2 linked regions of the Oryctolagus cuniculus genome follow. Each later gene encodes a partner of the first gene's protein in a complex. Links are inferred from orthologs where the notes say so. Each region holds a gene or a part of one and is shown on either strand. Other genes may lie near its edges. The genes, in order: DHDDS and NUS1.

What was found.
Region 2: the proteins of DHDDS (region 1) and NUS1 are in contact, whole or in part, in a crystal structure (PDB 7PAX), measured with the Homo sapiens proteins. The link is inferred for Oryctolagus cuniculus from reciprocal best matches to the Homo sapiens genes DHDDS and NUS1. Residues at the interface, in NP_995583.1 of Homo sapiens: Arg37, Arg38, Glu81, Asn82, Lys84, Arg85, Arg159, His160, Ile162, Ser163, Val166, Arg167, Met169, Ala170, Trp171, Val173, Glu174, Pro180, Ser181, Ile183, Ser184, Glu185, Leu188, His199, Glu209, Val210, Arg211, Leu212, Ser213, Asp214; in NP_612468.1 of Homo sapiens: His137, Gln138, Pro193, Glu194, Lys197, Ala198, Ile200, Val201, Ala204, Gln205, Phe207, Cys208, Gln209, Val211, Ala212, Arg217, Pro218, Thr219, Leu221, Asp222, Val223, Leu226, Asp237, Pro246, Val247, Asp248, Ser249, Thr250, Leu251, Gly252.

The regions. Positions count from the first base shown.
Region 1 is NC_091438.1:145,068,059-145,072,432, forward strand, and holds the start of DHDDS (dehydrodolichyl diphosphate synthase complex subunit DHDDS), read right to left. Parts: upstream 3,110-4,374; 5' UTR 2,982-3,109; intron 2,518-2,981; 5' UTR 2,463-2,517; coding exon 2,400-2,462; intron 481-2,399; coding exon 364-480; intron 1-363. UniProt on the Homo sapiens protein: With NUS1, forms the dehydrodolichyl diphosphate synthase (DDS) complex, an essential component of the dolichol monophosphate (Dol-P) biosynthetic machinery.
Region 2 is NC_091436.1:52,669,791-52,673,600, forward strand, and holds part of NUS1 (dehydrodolichyl diphosphate synthase complex subunit NUS1), read right to left. Parts: coding exon 3,735-3,810; intron 2,492-3,734; coding exon 2,342-2,491; intron 1-2,341. UniProt on the Homo sapiens protein: With DHDDS, forms the dehydrodolichyl diphosphate synthase (DDS) complex, an essential component of the dolichol monophosphate (Dol-P) biosynthetic machinery.

The sequences.
Region 1 (4,374 bases):
CATGGGAGACCCAGAAGAAGCTCTTGGCTCCTGGCTTTGGATCAGCTCAGCTCTGGCCATTGTGGCCATTTGGGGAGTGAACCAGCAGGTGGAAGGCCTCTCTCCCTCTCTGTCTCAACCTCTCTCTGTGATTCTGTCTTTCAAGTAAATAAAAATATATCTTAAAAAAAAAAAAAAAAAAAAGAAACAGGGAACTAATGTCTGTGACCATTTCTTCAAAAAAAATGTTACTGGATGACAGACACAGAGTTAGCAAGCAAGCAATAAAACAGAGAATGAGCTATCAAAACACTCAGACCATAGCAAACCCAGAGCCCAGTCCTCTATGGATTGTTCACGTTGGGTTCTGCCACCCACACCCACCTCAGCCAGCTTGTTGAAGCCTTGAGAGTGGCCCTCCTGCCGCTCCACCTGGCACTTCTTGGCATAACGGCGGTTCCCATCCATTATGAATGCGATGTGTTTGGGCATGGGGCCTGCCTGTGGGACAAGAAGACGGATGAACAGATCTCCTATTCTCTGGGGATGAGGGGAGCACTATCCCTCAGGCTGACAGGGTTGGGCTATATGATAAAATTGCTGGGGAACAGAATTAGACATTTCACACTTGTAGCTCAATAAAAGAGCATTCGGCACTTTCATTTGTTTTTATTTATATATTTATTGAGGACTTATTACATGCCAAATACTAAACTGGGCTCTTCCTACTTCATCTATCTTACAACTCTATAAGGTAAATGGTATCACATCAGTTTTATAGATAAAAAACTGGGCTCACTGAGATCAAGTGATTTGCACAAGTCAAACAGCTCAGAAGATGCAAAGTAGACATTCACACTACAGTCTGTCTGCTTCCAGAGTTCATCTTTTTTTTTTTTTTTTTTTTTGACGGGCGGAGTTAGAGAGAAACAGAGAAAGGTCTTCCCTCTGTTGGTTCACCCCCAAAATGGCTGCTATGGCCGGCGCGCTGTATTGATCCGAAGCCAGGAGTCAGGTGCTTCCTCCCGGTCTCCCATGCGGGTGCAGGGCCCAAGCACTTGGGCCATCCTCCACTGCACTCCCGGACCACAGCAGAGAGCTGGACTGGAAGAGGAGCAACCGGGACAGAACTGGCGCCCCAACCAGGACTAGAACCCAGAGTGCCGCGCCGCAGGCAGAGGATTAGCCTAGTGAGCCGCAGCGCCGGCCCAGAGTTCATCTTTAACAATATGCTTTTGAGGCCAGCATTGTAGTACAGTGGACTAAGTCACCACCTGTGACGCTGGCATCCCATGTGAGCTCCAGTCTGAGTTCCAGCCGCTCCACTTCTGATCCAGCTCCCTGCTAATGCAGGGAAAGCAGCAGAGGATGGCCCAAGCACTTGGCTGCCTGCTACCCAAGTGGGAGACCAGGAAGGAGTTCCAGGCTGATGGCTTTGGCCTGGACCAGCCCCAGTCATTGAGGCCATTTAGGGAATAAACCATAGATGGAAGATCTGTCTCTCTTTCTCCTTCCCTCTCTGGAACTCTACCTTTCAAATGCATAAATAAATCTTTTTTAAAAAATCATATGCTCTTCACCACCACTGCGATTCGCTTGGACCTCAACCAGGAGGCAAAGGAAGGATGCTGACAGGCACAGTCAACACAGAAGGCGTCTTCCACACACACAATCGGTGCACCCACTTCTCAGGCCTAACCAACTAATGCCACCCGGGGCCTGAGACTCAATGTGCTTCGGATCTTCTGATTTTACAGAGAATCAAACATCAGGGTTTTCATAAAAATATAACCTTCAGTAAGTATATCAGAGCAAGAAAACGTATCTGGCTCAGAGCAGTAAGCAAAAATGGGGATTAGTTTTCCATCTAAATCCAGAGCAGTTAAGACACCTGCATCCCAGACCGGAGAACCTGGGTTTGACGCCAGCTCTGGCTCAAGAGTCTGACTTCCTGCTAACACAGACCTGCGAGGCAAAAGGAACAGCTAAGTCATCAGTTCCTGCCACGTGGGAGACCTGAACTGAGATTCAGGCTTCACCAGTCCAGCCTTGGCCACTGCAGGCAGTGGGGGAGTGAATCAGCAGGCGGAAGCTTCCTCTCCCTCCCTCTCTCTCAAATAAGTAATAAATTGAAAAATTAAAAGTAAATTTTTAAAAATCCAGCATATGGTACTAGGATCAATGATTCAACGTACAGAGAAACAAATCTAACATCTAACAGTCTCTGCTCACCCCGGCTCCCAGTTAGGACAAAAATCCGCGGACACAGCCATCTGAAGTTACCTTGCAGTTTTAATGCTCTTTGGTTCCTTTGCTGAGTTCCACTTCACATCATGCATTGCTCAGATTCAACAACAGGTTTTGGTGCAAGACTATGCACACGACCAGAAGGTCCACCGGTGCTCTGGCCCACTGCTCACCTTTATGATGTTGGCACAGAACCGCTCCCAAAGGGACAGTTCTCCTTCCTTGATCCATGACATAGTTCTCGCCCGGTCAGAGGATCACCCCAGAATAACAAGACACCAGTCTGGAAACCTTGCATAAACAAGAAAAGAGAGGGAGACGTCACCAGGGCTTGCAAACAGCTACAGCGGATTTCTCGAGATTGATCCCCGACTGCACAGCGCGACTAGCACGAGAATCTTACGTAGAACTGCACCGGCCAATGAGACCTCTCCGGTTCTCCTGGCTTCGTGCACCTTGGCCCCTGGCCATTTTCCTCATTATCTGCACTCACTTCTTCTGAACATCTACATCTGCTTGCTGCCACATCACGGCGCCTACGTCTCGATCATTCGCCGCGTCCTCCTCCATCTTCCCCCAAGTCATTTCCCATTCTGCGCTCCCAGTCACCAACCCGTGCAGTTGCGGCACTCGCTACCTCCTACTTCACTGGTATTGTAATTTTCTGTTCCCTCGGCTGTCCCTCGATCCTTCCCGCAGCTGCCTCCCCGCCCAGCCATCTCCCTCTCCTCCGTTTCACCCCTTCCTCCCACCACCTGATCCGCTCCGCTGGGCTTCTTCCAACGGCTCCAGTGGGCCGACACTTCCTCACGACACGGCGCTGAAAGACCACGTCATCGCAGCGCGCTGGGCCACGCTCCTCCCGCCAGCCAATGGGCGGGGCGTGGCCCTGCGCCTGCCGGGTAGTGGAAGGAGCGGCGGGAGCTCTGTGGCCCTGCAGTGCGCGTTCGTCCGCTGGCGGCGGGCGGCGGCGAGGGTGGAAGCTGAGCCCACGTGACGGAGCAGGGGCGGGCGGGCGGCCGGCCGGGCTTCGGGCCGTGCATTGGGGAAGGCTGGGTCCAGCCCGGCAGGGGGAGGCGAGAGGCCTGCGGACCAGATCGGACGGCCTCCGGCAAACGTGCCGTCAGCTAAGCACGAAGGGGATCCCGCCTCGCAAGTTGAGGCGCCCCTAGGCCGCTGACGTCGTTCTGTAGCCGGGCACTACGTTGGGAAGCCGCAGGTCTGACTTCGTTAGAAGCCCTGGTACAAGCCTTAAGTCATACTTCTGCTCTGTGCTTAGTTTGGGAACCAGTTGCTAGCCCCAGTTAGTCTTACAGGGGCGCTGAATGTCCGTCCATTTTGTGCTGCTTTAGGGCACCCAGATGGTAGGATTTACAGGTTCCTACAAGAGGTAAGGCTACAAGGAGTTCTGCAAAACCCAGGTCATTATTTAACGGAGACAAAATCGGCGTCAGCTCTGTACCCATCCTTTTTTTAAAGAGATCGGAGGGAGGGCTTTAAGAGCTTTTAGAAAATGGTGCATGAATCTTAAGAACTGAGTCACAGGAGAAATTGCTACTTCGACTTCCTCAAATAAAAACGGGAAAAAAACTTTACAGAATCTCATGCGACCAGTATTTTTCTTTTAACTCATAGCGCAACCTCCATATGGATGATTTGCGTAGGTGACAGAATTTTCAAAGGACCGTCCGCCTCTCACTTCGCATGGCTCATCTCATCAAGCAGTTGTTGCACACCGTCCATCCCATAGCCACTGTGTGCCTTCCACTCCCCGATGAAAGGGTCATGTATGGAGTAACATACTTGAAGAAAGCCCTAGAGAAAAGTAACCCGCCCGTGAACATTTCCCGTCCTGGCTTTGCAACCTAGGAGCAAATTTCAGCCTCGCTTATTTGCGTTTTCCAAGAATATTTACTGAAGCTCAGTGGTTTGCTGGCTGTGAGCATCCACTGTCACCTCTGACTCTGGGTACAATTAGTTAAGGGGCCACAAAGTCCCTGGAGTTGATAGGAAGCTTCCTACCCTCACTCTGGTAATGTTGCCAGGGCTCGAGGATTTAATCCAGTTTCTCTGTTTCCTTGCACTTTGTGTTAATACTTGGTTTGCCTCCAATTAAGTTTTATCCTTTTTAAATCCTCCTTCCCCTCG
Region 2 (3,810 bases), on another chromosome or scaffold:
ATCTAGAACCATTTACGTTGCAAGTGGGGTGTAAAATGTAGAGCGTATTTGAAAAAGTTTGGTGGTTTCTTAAAAAATTAAACATTCACTTCCATACGACACAGAAATCCCACTATTAAATATCTATCCAATAAGAGAAAGAAACATGTCCACACAAAGACTTGCACACAGTCACAGTCACAGCACAGCAATGTTATTCAAAAATTGGAAATGGGCAGCACTGTGGTAAACAAGGTTAAGCCACCCCTGTGATGCTGGCATCCTATATGGGTACTGGTTCGAGTCCCAGCTGTTCCACTTCTAGTCAGGCTCTCTGTTGATGTGTCTGGAAAGCAGAGAAGATGGCCCAAGTACTTGGGCCCTGTCAACCATGTGGGAGACCTGGATGGAGGTCCAGGTTCCTGGCTTTAGCCTGCTCCACCCTGGTCCTTGCAGCAATTTGGGAGAGTGAACCAGCAGATGGGAAATCTCACTCTTTCTTTCTCTCTCGCTCCTTCCCTCTGTGTAACTTTGCCTTTCAAGTAAATAAGTAAATCTTAAAAAAAAACAACAACTGGAAACAAATAAAATGTGCATCAACTGAAGAATGAGTAAACAAATTGTGGTCTATCCATAAAATAGACTACTTCCTATTAACAAAAGTAATAAATTAAGACATTCAACATTGATGAACCTCAAAATTATTATGCTAACAAAGTAAGACATAAAAGATTATCTATAATATGATTCCTTTGATATAAAATTTCTATAAAAGGCAAAAGTATCTCCAGAAAGACAACCAACCAATGTGGGGACCCAATGCAGTACAAGGGAACTTTTTGGGGTGATGGTAGAGTGTTTGCTTCTCCCAGATTAATGAGTTAATGTAAGGACTGGGCTTAATTTCATTTATTGTGAATTTACAAGCCCTGAAGCAAAACCTTTGGGCTCCAGGCCACCTTTTAGAATGTCTTCACAAATCACTCCAGGGCTTCACAGAGTCCAAGAAACAGTCAACATCTCAGTAATCTCTAGTAAGAGTGCCCACACAATCTTTTACACTCAGCAAGCCTGAACACAGACAACATCAGAGTAAAGAACACAAGAGTAAAGGAAGGAGTAGTCAGTGAAAGTACGAAGTTAGTAAGACTAAGAGGCCAGAATCTGTGTTCCATGATCGACACGCCAAAGTAAAAGAGTCAAAGAATGAAGAGTTATGTAAATAACTGATACAGAAAATGCATGATTAATAAGGTAAATGGAGGGTCTATGTAAATGAAAAAAACCAATGTCTGAGATCATATGGCTGTAGAAGATATCCATGAACTTGACTTTGCTAGAGAGACTGCTTTTCTGCAAAAGGTTCAAGATAATGCTTGAAAGCAGAAGGACCATGAAGTTAAAAGTTCCTGGACAGGCTCTAGAAAGAGTAAGTACACAAAAGGCTTTATAAATAGTTGAAGGAAAAAAAGCTATATTTGGTATGACATGCCAAATTCAGGGGAGTATATTTGGTACAGCATAATAGAAAAAAAGAAACACTTAAAAAGGAGTCATGTATGCTAAGATTATATTCTTGGGAGTGCCTCACAAAAAGTTGTTAAGTTCAAACCTGTTAGAAAGTTCAAACTAAAAAGGGGGTTGAGACAGACAGAAAGGCTAACAGAAGTCCTATTTTTAAGAATACTCCTGGCTGGCGCTGCAGCTCAATAGGCTAATCCTCCACCTAGCGGCGCCGGCACACCAGGTTCTAGTCCCGGTCGGGGTGCCGGATTCTGTCCCGGTTGCCCCCCTTCCAGGCCAGCTCTCTGCTATGGCCCGGAAGTACAGTGGAGGATGGCCCAGGTGCTTGGGCCCTGCACCATTTGGGAGACCAGGAGAAGCACCTGGCTCCTGCCTTCGGATCAGCGCGGTGCGCCGGCCGGGGCGGCCACTGGAGGGTGAACCAACAGCAAAGGAAGACCTTTCTCTCTGTCTCTCCCTCTCTCTCACTGTCCACTCTGCCTGTCAAAAAAAAAAAAAAAAAAAAAAAAAAAAGAATGCTCCTTACTGCAAAAATAAAGAAAATAAAGAGAAGGAAAAAGAAGGAAAGAAGGAAAGGAAGTTCAAGGAAAGAAGGAAGGCAGGCAGGCAGGCTGGCCTTTCCTTTACCATGAAATCCTCACACAAGTAAGCTGACCACAATTACATTATCCCAAAACCATTTTACATGTGGGTCTTTAAATTTCAGAAGTATGAAGAGTACAGCAACAACAAAATCAAATGTTATAGTATAAAAGGATCTTAATATTTCTTTCATACTGTATCTTTATGTTATAAAATTTAAAATGTACACACACACACATACACATACATGACTTACTAAGTAAACTGTCTAACATATCTACATCCAAATCTGTGGATTTCTTTTGCTGCTGGGCTACTAACTGGCAAAAGTCCTGAGCAGCTCTCACAATATCTGCTTTTCCATCTTCTGGGGACAGCACCTTCACTGCTGAATGGCAATTTAAAACTGGAGGAAAAAACAAACAAATTTATTTTTAAAAACACTCTCTTCCAAATATGTCAAAACCAGTTTTAAAAGAAACAGTTAAGGTTTTGAAAGTTCTTACAGTAAAGAATCACTTAAACCCTTCAATTTCAGTATCAAATGTACTTAACTATTCTCCTTTCAAAGGCCAGATGCACCCCAAATCACATTTATGTATATATTTTCATACTGTCTTATTTTCAAAGGGCTCAAGAGGACCTTTTATTGTGGCTAAATTCTCCAGAAAATAGAAGATTTAATTATAAGGTAGATGACTTTTACTCACCTAAAATTCCATCTACAATCATTGCAAAATTAACAGTAATATACAGAATAAAAGAAAAAATAAAGATTGTAGAAAAAATTGTGTTTCAGTGGAGAATGTATGCATTGTCTAGAGTGTACACATACACACATATTCATTATCTATTTCTGATTCTCTGGGATCTATATTGCAATTGACAGAACTCTAAAGAACTGATAATAATGTAAAATTCTTTTCTATAAAAATGCACTATCTTTCCTGTCAGGTAGAGGTTCAATTATCTTTCCTCTCATCTCACAGGAAAACCAGTTTTGTCTCTACTTAGATATTCACTCTATTTCCTGATGTATAAACGTGACTGTTCTTTGGATTATCTGTTGAATGAGTTATAAAAAAATCTGCCCAATTAAATAAAATCTTTATCATGTGTTCACTTTTTAATATTTACATGAGTTATTATTTTATCTTTTTCTGATTATCTTTTAATAAGATAAAGGAGAAAAAGTCTCAATCTGATGACTAAAGATGTTGAGACTGGTGGGGAGTCTGGACTAGCAGTGAAGATGCCAATTGAGACATCTGCATCCCATATGGGACTGTCTGGGTTTGAGTTCTAACTCCACTGCTGATTCCAGCTTCCTACTAATAAAGACCCTGGAAGGCATCAGGTGATAGCTCAGGAGGGAGAACTGAACTGAGTTTCTGACTCCTGACTTCACTGTGGCCCAGTCCTGGCTGTTATGGATATTTAGGGAGTGAACCACTAGATGAGAACAGATGAGAGTCTGTCTCTCTCTACAGCTCAAATACATAAATAAATACATAAAAATTAAGTAAAGATACTGAGAACAAGACTAACAGGGCAAAATGAACGAATAAAGGACTGAGTAACAGACTTGCTTTGAATTGTAAAACACCTAACTTCATATGCTGCATATTCAATTTTACATTCATGCTTACCTTGATCATCTTTGTCATTACTATTTGCAAACTCTGTTGAGTATTTGGAACAATCCAGGCCCAGAAGTTCCTGTTG